Linked DNA regions of Anolis sagrei. The protein of the gene in region 1 interacts with the protein of each later gene in a biochemical or structural test. Links are inferred from orthologs where the notes say so. Each region holds a gene or a part of one and is shown in the gene's direction. Other genes may lie near its edges.

Region 1 (3,748 bases):
GTCTACTGGATGCCCTTGGATAGCTCACAAAGTCCCTGTCTTCCGAAAGCTAAACATGCCCAGCTCTTTAAGCCGCTCCTCATAGGGCTTGTTCTCAGACCCTTGATCATTTTAGTCACCCTCCAGCTTGTCAATATCTCTCTTCAATTGTGGTGCCCAGAATTGGACACAATATTCCAGGTGTGGTCTAACCAAAGCAGAATAGAGGGGTAGCATGACTTCCCTGGACCTAGACACTATGCTCCTATTGATGCAGGCCAAAATCCCATTGGCTTTTTTTGCTGCCAAATCACATTGTTGGCTCATGTTTAACTTGTTGTCCACAAGGACTCCATGATGCAAGAGTCTGAAGGAAGACACCATAAGACTAGGATTCAAGTCCCTGTTCAGACACGGAAGTCTACTGGATGCCCTTGGATAGCTCACAAAGTCCCAGTCTTTTGAAAGCTAAACATGCCCAGCTCTTTAAGCCGCCCCTCATAGGGATTGTTCTCAGACCCTTGATCATTTTAGTCGCCCTCCTCTGGACACATTCCAGTTTGTCGATATCTCTCTTGAATTGTGATGCCTAGAATAGGACACAATATTCCAGGTGTGGTCTAACCAAGGCGGAATAGAGGGAGAGCATGACTTCCCTAGATCTAGACACTATAGTCCTATTTCCTTTCCATCTCGAAAAGGAAAGCGCTGTGGTTCTCCAGAAGTTGGGATCGAAGGCAGCAAATAGCAATCAGCAGAAGGAGGAAGGGATGATGCTCTCGAAAGGGAATGGTAGGTCCTGGAGAGAGGAGTGCGTTTATCTCTCCGAAGGAGAAAGTTGGCGATGGAATATGGTCGAATCCCTGGGAAGGAAGGCGGAGGGAAGCTTGGGTCTGAAGGGACCTGAGCCAGCATCAGGCGCTTGGGTGGATTCCTTCCTTTCGGCTGCTGCTGCATTTCTCCCCCTTCCAAAGGCAATGCATCCCGAACTGATTCCAGTCCACAGATTTCTCCTCAAAATCATTCCAACACCTAAGAAAAAGCCAGCCTTGCAAACGAGCCTCTCCCTCCTCCTCTTCTTCTTCTTCCCTTTCTGGGAACCCGCGCGCCACAGCTCGAGCGCGCGCCCGTGACAGGTGTTTCCCGGGTTGCAAACAGAGAGGAGGGGGAGGAGCGGAGTGGGCGGGGCTTACTCTTTGAAGAAGCCCAGAGGGGCGGGGCTACGGCTGTTGGGTCCCTCCCCCTCCTCAGCTGTGTTGGATTTTGGGGAGGGGAGAGAGCGCGCGCGAGAGAGAAAGAGTGTGTGTGTGTTTGTGAGAGAGAGAAAGAGGGGAACGCGGCTGGTTGATCTGCGCCGCCGCCGCCGCCGGAGTGGTTGGGAGCCCATGGCATTGGCGCTGGGAGGCTTTCCCCGCTCCGTCAGCCGCGGGAGGAGGCAGCAGGGGCAAGCGACGACGCGACAACTCTCCTCAGCTCGGGGGGCCTCTTGGGTGAGAAGTGCGCGAGGCGGAGGCGCGCGCCTCGAACTGCGGCGGCAACTTTGGGGAGTTCTTTCCGGGCGTGGGAAAGAGGGCACCTGGGCGCCTGAGGGGAGCTGCTGCGTCCTCGCGCTGCCGCCCGCTTGGAACATGTAACTGGGGAAGCGCGAGAGGAGGCACGCGCACACATACAATCCAGAGGGAGAGAAAGAGAGGGGTCTTGCTGCTACTGCTCCTTCGCCGTCTCCTTCTTCTTCTTCTTCTTATTCTCTCCGAAGATGAAGCTGTCCCTTCTCCTCCTCGGCTTCCTCGCCGTCGCCGGGACCCTCAGCGCCGCTCAGTCAGGTGCGTCCCATCCGTATAGCGGTTTTCTTCTCTCCTTGGCGTCCCTTTCCCCCCAAAGTTGCCTCCTTCGAGGGCTTTGACCTGCGGCTCGCGCGTGGCCCGGCTTGGTCTCCCCCTCCCCTCCCTTGATTATGTTTCCCCAACTCAGCAAGACTCTCTTTCCAACCCGATGATTGAGATGCTGTACAGCTGTGTCCTTATAAGATCCACCTGGAGCTGGATTGTAAGGCAGTGTAGAATCAGATCCACCCAATATCAAAAGCGGATATTGGGGATTGTCTGCCTTGATATTCTAGGTTATGTGGAAGGTCCCTGAGTGGCTTGGGACTAGGACGTTTGAAGAGCCCCCTCTTCTCATATGAACATTCTCCATCACCTTTGAGGGCAGAATGTATATTGCCATAATGCAATTAGTAGGGGATACTGGCTATACTTTTCTCAGGCTTTTGGGAAGAATATAAACTCATTTGAAAGATGCTGCTGGACAATAAATGGGGATTGTCTGCCTTGATATTCTGGGTTATATGGCGATGTGGAAGGGCCTTGAATGGCTTGGGACTAAGACGTTTGAAGAACCCCCTCTTCTCATATGGACATTATCCATCACTGGGTTGTTGTAGGTTTTTTCGGGATGTATGGCCATGGTCTAGAGGCATTCTCTCCTGACGTTTCGCCTGCACTTTGGCAAGCATCCTCAGAGGTAGTGAGATATTCTCCATCACCTTTGAGGCCAGAATGTATATTGCCACAATGCAATTAGTAGGGATACTGGCTATACTTTTCTCAAGCTTATAAACTCATTTGAAATATGCTGCCGGACAATAAATGGATCTGGGGATTATCTGCCTTGATATTTTGGGTTCTATGGCTGTGTGGAAAGAGGCACCAGAGAGCCCAGTTTAAAGCAAATCTTATGCGTTATCTGCCTTGATATTGGGTTGTTGTAGGTTTTTTGGGCTATATGGTCATGTCCTAGAGGCATTCTTTCCTGACGTTTCGCCTGCATCTATGGCAAGCATCCCCAGAGGTAGTTCTAGTGGCATTCTCTCCTGACGTTTCGCCTGCATCTATGGCAAGCATCCTCACTACCTCTGAGGATGCTTGCCATAGATGCAGGCGAAACGTCAGGAGAGAATGCCTCTTTCCACACAGCCATAGAACCCAAAATATCAAGGCAGATAATCCCCAGATCTATTTATTGTCCAGCAGCATATTTCAAATGAGTTTATATTCTATTGTCGAAGGCTTTCATGGCCGGAATCACTGGGTTGTTGTAGGTTTTTTCGGGCTATATGGCCATCAGAGGTAGTTCTAGAGGCATTCTCTCCTGACGTTTCACCTGCATCTATGGCAAGCATCCTCAGAGGTAGTGAGGATGCTTGCCATAGATGCAGGCGAAACGTCAGGAGAGAATGCCTCTCGAACATGGCCATATAGCCCGAAAAAACCTACAACAACCCAGTGATTCCCACCATGAAAGCCTTCGACAATAGAATATAAACTCATTTGAAATATGCTGCTGGACAATAAATGGATCTGGGGATTATCTGCCTTGATATTTTGGGCTCTATGGCTGTGTGGAAAGGGCCCCAGAGAGCCCAGTTTAAAACAAATATTGTGGGTTATCTGCCTTAATATTATATGGCCCCATGTGCTCAGCCTCCGGCCCTTCCACACAGCCATATAACCCAAAATATCAAGGCAGATAATCCCCAATATCTGCTTTGAACTGTGTGATCTGAGGTCCCTTCCACGCAGTTGTATAAAATTCCAAAATTATCTGCTATGAACCGGGTTATATGGCAGTAGGACTCAGATACTCCAGTACAAAGTAGATATTGTGGGTTTTTCTACCTTGGGCCCTTCCACACAGTCTTGTATCCCAGAATATCAAGGCAGCACATCCCACAATCTCTGCTTTGAGCTGCGTGATCTGAGTCCACAGT
Region 2 (3,748 bases), on another chromosome or scaffold:
GGGCCCCCTTGGGAGATGGTAGCGGGATATAAATAAAGTTTTATTATTATTATTATGTCAATATTTATTTATTTACGACATTTATATGACGCCCTTCTCACGCCGAAGGGGACTCAGAGCAGATAATATAATTTATTGTATATATATTTTGTTATTAGCATAGTACAATATCAGTATTAAATATTACTATATAGTATTATACCATTATTGTTGTTGTTCATTCGTTCAGTTGTCTCCGACTCTTCGTGACCTCATGGACCAGCCCACGCCAGATCTCCCTGTCAGCCATCACCACCCCCAGCTCCTTCAAGGTCAGTCCAGTCACTTCAAGGATGCCATCCATCCATCTTGCCCTTGGTCGGCCCCATTATATTGTAGTATTATTAGTAATATTACATCTAATATAAATATAGAATTATAATATCTTATTATTATATTGCATTACCTTATAATATTATAAATATATGTATATACAATATATTATATTATAATATTAGAATATATCTGTATATATAAGAAAGTCACGATGCTGGCTTTGTTAAGCCTTTATTGTATTAGGAAAAACACTTTGCAGCTAAAACAGCTTCCAGATCGGAGGGGGAGAATCCTTCTGCGAGAACAGCTGTAGTCCGGCTGAGGCCACGCCCCTCCGTCTACTCTCGGAACAGCCTTCCCAAGCGGCAAGCGCATGCGCAGAAAGGACGAGGGCGGCGGCTACACAAGGGAAAGCAGGGGGCGTCCGCAGCGAATGCCTCTTACCTCCTCTCTACCCCTCCCTCCGCGAGCGAGCGCGCGCGCACACACACACACAAGCGCACGCACGCGCACAGCGGCTCCCCATTGTTCCCATTCACCGCCTCAAAGAGGGGAAGGGGCGTGGTTTATTTGGCCACGCCCCGTTTGTTGTAACCGCCGCAACTCAATCGTTCATAAAATCCTCGCTCTAGCCCTCCTCATCATTCGTTCACCGATTCTGCTTTGGCCCCTCCCACCGGGCACGCGCTGCGCCATTAGGGGCGGGGCCTTGCCGGAGCAGCATGATGGCGGCGGCCGAGGCTGGAGGCGAAGAGGGCGGCTCGGGAGCGGCCGGGGAGCCCGGCGGACACGGCTGCCCTCCGGCCACCACCGCCACCTCCGCCGCCGCCCGTAGCAAAGGCTCTCCTCCCGCCGCCGCCGCTGCTTTGGTTCTTTCCGGCGACACCTGCCCTTCTGGCGTCTCTCCCGTGCTCCACCCGAGGCCTGCCGACCCTGAGGAGATGGCCAAGGCCTCGCCGGCGCTGCCGCTTCAGCTTCCCGAGGGCGGAGGAAGCGTGGCCTCGGCTTCGGGGGGCTTCCCTCCTCTGCCGCCGCCACCTCAGCCGCCGCTTCCGGCCGGGGGCCTGAGCACCGTGGACGAGGGCGACTCGCTGGACGGGCCCGAGTACGAGGAGGAGGAGGTCGCCATCCCGCTCAACGCGCCCCCCACCAACCAGTGAGTATGGAGGAGGAGGAGGAGGAGGAATAGTAGGCCCTCGAACAGGTCAGCAGGCAGGGGCAAGCTCGGGCCCTCCAGGTGTTTTGGACTTCAACTCCCACCATTCCTCACAGCCTCAGGCCCCTTCCTTTTCCCCCTCAGCCGCTTAAGCGGCTGAGGGGGAAAAGGAAAGGGCCTGAGGCTGTGAGGAATGGTGGGAGTTGAAGTCCAAAACACCTGGAGGGCCCGAGCTTGCTCATGCCTGAGTCAAAGGGAATAGCATGTGTGCCTGTGTGTATTGATTGTCTCTCTTGTGTTTGTATATCTGTGGGCTCTTCCACACAGCCCTATATCCCAGAATATCAAGGCAGGAAATCCCACATAATACAGGGTTAGTCAAAATGCATAGGCCAATAAGCCATTCAATTGAATGGCTTATTGGCCTATGCATTTTGACTAACCCTGTAATAAATAATAAGCACAATCAAACCCTTGTGAACCACCCTGTTGAGAAGGATAGTATACAAATATGAAGCAGAGAGTGTTTGAGGACTAGGACATCTGTAGGGATACCAAGGTGCTTGTTTATAAAGCTATTGTCTTCCCAACCCTGCTATATGCCTGCAAAACGTGGACTGTCTACAGATGTCACATGCAACTCCTGGAACGATTCCATCAGCACTACCTGCAGAAAATACTGCAAATGTCTTGGAAAGACAGGCAAATAAACGTCATCATGCTGGAAGAAGCAAAGACAACCAGCATTGAAGCGATGGTCCTCTGCCATCAACTCCGCTGGATCGGCCACTTTGTCTGGATGCCCGACCACTGTCTCCCAAAGCAGTTGCTCTACTCCGAACTCAAGAACAGAAAACGGAATGTTGGTGGACAGGAAAAGAGATTTAAAGATGGGCTCAAAGCCAACCTTTAAAATTCTGGCATAGACACAGAAAACTGGGAAGCCCCGGCCCTTGAGCACTCCAGCTGGAGGTCAGCTGTGACCAGCAGTGCTGCAGAATTTGAAGAGGCACAAATGGAGGGTGAAAGAGAGAAACGTGCCAAGAGGAAGGTGCGTCAAGCCAACCCTGACTGAGACCACCTTCCACCTGGAAACCAATGCCCTCAGTGCAGGAGAACATGCAGATCAAGAATAGGGCTCCACAGCCACCTACGGATCCACAAGAATACTTATTATGGAAGACTATCTTACTCGTCCAACGAGGGATCTCCTAAGTAAGTAAGATTGTTTCTCTTGTGTTTGTATATCTGTGGGCCCTTCCACACAGCCCTATATCCCAGAATATCAAGGCAGGAAATCCCACATAATAATAAATAATAAGCACAATCAAACCCTTGTGAACTACCCTGTTGAGAAGGGTAGTATACAAATACCACAAATAAATAAATAATAAACCACCTCCACCAGACTGCCATCCAGTCTCTGTCTAAGGGAGACTCAGGGTGGCTTGCATGAGGCCAAGCAGAGCAAATATATAACAAATATAAAAATAAAATACAAAGCAATATAAATAAACGCACCAAACAATATAAAATCACAATAATTGGGCAGGGCAAGTTGCAGGGATTAAAAGTTTAAAACACTGGGTAAGCATGGAGGACTCAAAGAACCCAGCTCAAAGCAGAGATTGTGGAATTTTCTGCGCTGATATTCTGGGATATAGGGCTGTGTGGAAGGGCCCTGCGTGTATGTGTGTGTATACACATGTATCTCTTTCTGTATACAAACGTATACAAGCATCTGTCTGTAATGTGGGAGTAGGTGCTATGTTTTTAACAGTTGTTTAACTGTATTTATATGTTTAATACACACATTTAAATATTAATAAATGAACTAGCCTGTATCAAACTCTGGGCAACTCCTTCAAATTTTGTTTGCTCCTGCCTCTTTCTTCAGCCGAATCTTAAAAAATTATTAAAGTGGGTGGTACTCAATTTAGTCCCTTCCCCTGGTTATTTCCATCAAAGCAAAGGGGCAAATTGGGAAGCTCTGTTGTCATCTGCCAAAAGGGTCCAGAACCTTCCTTTCCATTTACTTAACACCTTTCTCCAATGGTAGTACTGATTCTTGTAGCCTCATGGCCTTCAATTCATTTGCATTGAGGGCCCATCTTTAATTCTAATGTGCAGTATAAGGTCTACTTTTTTTTTAAAAAGCCATATAGGTTTTTCTCTGCCTCCATCACTCCCCATGTGTAAAACAGACTTGGGCTACCTGTCCTCCAGGAAAAGAAGCTGACTTTCTGAAGACAATGTGCCCAGTTACTCAGAGCTGCA
Region 3 (3,748 bases), on another chromosome or scaffold:
GATGGCCCACGAGGTCTCTTCCTACTCTGTGATTCTATGATTACATCTATTTAATGTATTTACTTAAACAGAGGCTGGATGGCCACCTGTCAGAGGTGCTTTGAATGCGATTTTCAAGCTTCTTGGCAGGGGGGTGGACTGGATGGCCCATGAGGCCTCTTCCAACTCTATGATTCTATAATCATCAACCGTTGGGGGTTTTTTTTACCTCAATCTATGCTGATAGGAATAATGGTCCATCACATCTGGTGAAGTTGGAAATCTTTGGCCATCTAGATATTTCTTGGATTTCAAGTTTCAGAACTCCCATCCCAATGGTCATTGGTAAAAGATTGTGAGAATAGGACCCAAGTTTGTCCTACTAGATTGCCCTACTTCTCCAATCTATGTTCCTATATGAAATTAGCGTTGCAATTTACAGTTGTGGTTGGTTAGTAGGGGACTGGTTGTCATATTGGCCCATGAGGTCTGTTCCAAATCTATGATTCTATCCTGTCCATTCAACAAGCTTGTTAGGGCTTCTGGGATTTGGAGGCCCACAGTTTGAGGATACCTGCTCTTCTTGACACACCCCTGCGGGAGGGAGAGCGCGCTCGCGCTCACTGTGGTGTTTACATCTGCGCGTGTGTGTTGATGCCACCTCTCTCTCTCTTTCTCCCTCCCCCCACCCCTCCGCGCAGGTGAGGCGCGAGATAGAGTGCGTCGCGTGCCTGGGGAGAGAGGTCACGCGCACCCCCTCCCCCTCTGATTGGCTGCGTTGAAGGGGGGGGGGGAGCAGAGCCTGGGAAGGGAGACACATGGCTGGAGGCGCTCGCGCCCTTCAGTCTGGACACTCCTCGCGCCTCCATCCTTCTTCCACAGTGAGCGGCGGCGAAGAAGCGAGGCACCTTCCCCTCGCTTGCATTCCCCGTCAGCCAGGCAGGCCGAGCAGGGAGAGCCATGCTGTGCTTCCTCCTCTTCCTTCTCCTCCTCCTCGTGCTGTTTGGGGCAGTGGTGAACCCTCAGTGCTCCTCTTCCTCCTCCTCCTCGGTGGAGTCGCTGGCCCAGCGCGCCTCGGTGGTGGTCGAGGGTAAGGTGCTTGAGGAAGAAGCGACGCGCGCGCCGTTCTCCTTCCTCCTCCTCCTCCTCGCGCAACCCACCGCCTCCTCCTCCTCCAGCTCCTCCTTCTCAGGGACCGTCCTCCCGCCTTCGCCAGCTCCCAGCCCGCAGCTCCCTCTCCTGCCCGCCTCTTCCTCCTCCTTCCCTCCTCCTTCCTCGCCGCCGCCGTTAGTGGCTCGGGTGCGCGTGCTCCAGGTGTGGCCGGCCAAGAGCGGCGGGCTGCGGAAGGACGCGCTGCTGTGGGTGCTGCTGGCCCCGAGGGGCTCCGTCCCCTCCTCCTCCTCCTCTCCCTCCTCCGCCTGCGGGAATAGCAGCAGGAGCAGCCGCCTCCGCCGAGAGAGCCGCTACATCTTCTTCATGGAGCCCTTGGGGAGTAGCAGCACCAGCACCAGCAGCCTCAACGGCACGGGCTCTTCGCTTTCCTCGCCGCCACCGCCGCTGCTCTTCCAGGCGTCTTCCCCGCCCCTGGAGACGGGCAGGAGTCTCAGGAAGGAGGTCAGCAGGGTCCTGTGCACCAGGGAATGTGGTAAGTCGGCGCCTCCCCGAAACTGACATCGCCATCGAGAGAGAGAGAGAGAGAGACGAAGAAGGAGAAGTAGCATCCCTGGCTTGGCTGGCCCACAGCAGCCCATCCAGCGGTGCCTTAAAGGGAGGCGGGGAAAGGGAGGAGTTGAAGTTCTGCTAGTGCCATGCCTTTCGATGGGTCGGGTCTCCTTTTATGACTCAGATCTCCTTTTTTTTTTTTTTTTTTTTTTGCTATGGGTCAGGTCCTCTTTCTCTCCAGGACTCAACCCCCCCTTTTTTCTATGGGTCAGGTCTCCTTTCTTTCTACGACAGCCCCCCCCCCTTTCTTTCTATGATTCAGTGCCCCTTTCATTCTGTAACTCAGATCCCATTTTTTTCAGTGGGTCAGGCCCCCTTTCTTTCTATGATTCAGTCCCCATTTCTTTCTACAACTCAGATCCCATTTCTTTCAGTGGGTCAAGTCCCCTTTCTTCCTACTACTCAGATGCTATTTATTTCTGTGGGTCAGCCCCCATTTCTTTCTATTACTCAGGTCCTCTTTATTTATATGACTCAGGTCCCCTTTCTTTCTATGGGTCAGGTTCCCTTTCTTTCTGTGGGTAAGCCCCTATTTCTTTCTACTACTCAGGTAGCTTTTATTTCCATGATTCAGGTCCACTTTCTTTCTATGTGTCAGGTTCCCTTTCTTTCCGTCGGTCAGGTCCCCTTTCTTTCTATTACTCAGGTCCCCTTTCTTTCTATGGGTCAGATTCCCTTTCTTTCTATGACTCGGGTCCACTTTCTTCCTACTACACAGGTGCTCTTTATTTCTATGGGTCAGGTCCTCTTTCTTTCTATGGTTCACTCCCCCTTTCTTTCTACAACTCGGATCCTATTTCTTTCAGTGGGTCAAGTCCCCTTTCTTTCTACTACTCAGGTCCCTTTTATTTCTATGGGTCAGGTTCCCTTTCTTTCTGTGGTTCAGCCCCCATTTATTTCTACTACTCAGGTCCTCTTTATTTATATGACTCAGGTCCCCTTTCTTTCTATGGGTCAGGTTCCCTTTCTTTCTGTGGGTAAGCCCCTATTTCTTTCTACTACTCAGGTAGCTTTTATTTCCATGATTCAGGTCCACTTTCTTTCTATGTGTCAGGTTCCCTTTCTTTCCGTCGGTCAGGTCCCCTTTCTTCCTACTACTCAGGTCCTCTTTATTTCTATGAGTCAGGTTGCCTTTCTTTCTATGACTCAGGTCTCATTTCTTTCTATGGGTGGTTCCCTTTCTTTCTGTGGGTCAGCCTCCATTTCTTTCTACTACTCAGGTCCCTTTCCTTTCCATGACTCAGGTCCCCTTTATTTCTGTGGGACTCTTTCTGTCTACGACTCAAGTCCAACACTCAAAAACCAGGGAATTCCAGACAGGAAACAATCAGGGACAGCTTACACCACCCAATTAAGGATTCCAACAAATCCAACAAAGGATTCCCCCATGCAAGAAGCAGCCAGGCTTTGAAGCTACAAGGCTGTTCAATGCTAATCAAGCTGGTAATTGCAATATTCACACTTGCCTCAAACAGAGGTTCCACAGATATATAAACCTGCTTGCCTAGTTTCCAACAGACCTCACAACCTCCAAGGATGCCTGCTATAAATGTGGGCAAAACATCAGGAGAGAATGCTTCTGGAATATGGTCATACATCCCAAAAAACTCACGGCAACCCTTCCAGCCTCTGTTTAAAAGCCTCAAAGGAAGGAGCTTCCGCCACACCATGAGGCAGAGAGTTCCACTATTGAACTATTGAACAGTTCTTACAGTCTTTCATGACTCAAGTCCCCTTTCTTTCTGTAGGTCAGGTTTCCTTTCTGCCGTGACCATCTTCATCTCCTTCTCCAAGCTTCTTTCCTTCTCCTCCTAATGCTTGTGCTGTGCATTGGATTTTTCCTCCTTCCTCCATCTCTCTTTTGCTCTCTCTCGAGTTGCAGGTGGGTGTAGATTTCTCCTTCTTTCAGAGACAAGTTGGGTCACAAGGGTGGGAAACTTTGCAAAAGCGTTTTGAGCCAAGTTTTGGAGATAGGCAAAAGAGCGTAAACCTCTTGGTACCTCTTGCTCCTGTTGTTTTGCTGGCTCTTGTTGGGCAAGGGACAAAA

The links.
Region 2: the proteins of ERBB4 (region 1) and RASA1 form a complex in vitro, tested with the Homo sapiens proteins (2 studies listed by BioGRID and IntAct, with this or other methods). The link is inferred for Anolis sagrei from reciprocal best matches to the Homo sapiens genes ERBB4 and RASA1.
Region 3: the proteins of ERBB4 (region 1) and NRG1 form a complex in vitro, tested with the Homo sapiens proteins (2 studies listed by BioGRID and IntAct, with this or other methods). The link is inferred for Anolis sagrei from reciprocal best matches to the Homo sapiens genes ERBB4 and NRG1.

The regions. Positions count from the first base shown.
Region 1 is NC_090021.1:172,653,303-172,657,050, reverse strand, and holds the start of ERBB4 (receptor tyrosine-protein kinase erbB-4), read left to right. Parts: upstream 1-1,210; 5' UTR 1,211-1,735; coding exon 1,736-1,802; intron 1,803-3,748. UniProt on the Homo sapiens protein: Tyrosine-protein kinase that plays an essential role as cell surface receptor for neuregulins and EGF family members and regulates development of the heart, the central nervous system and the mammary gland, gene transcription, cell proliferation, differentiation, migration and apoptosis.
Region 2 is NC_090022.1:258,200,445-258,204,192, reverse strand, and holds the start of RASA1 (ras GTPase-activating protein 1), read left to right. Parts: upstream 1-895; 5' UTR 896-1,037; coding exon 1,038-1,471; intron 1,472-3,748. UniProt on the Homo sapiens protein: Inhibitory regulator of the Ras-cyclic AMP pathway. Stimulates the GTPase of normal but not oncogenic Ras p21; this stimulation may be further increased in the presence of NCK1.
Region 3 is NC_090022.1:157,783,035-157,786,782, reverse strand, and holds the start of NRG1 (pro-neuregulin-1, membrane-bound isoform), read left to right. Parts: upstream 1-800; 5' UTR 801-939; coding exon 940-1,624; intron 1,625-3,748. UniProt on the Homo sapiens protein: Direct ligand for ERBB3 and ERBB4 tyrosine kinase receptors. Concomitantly recruits ERBB1 and ERBB2 coreceptors, resulting in ligand-stimulated tyrosine phosphorylation and activation of the ERBB receptors.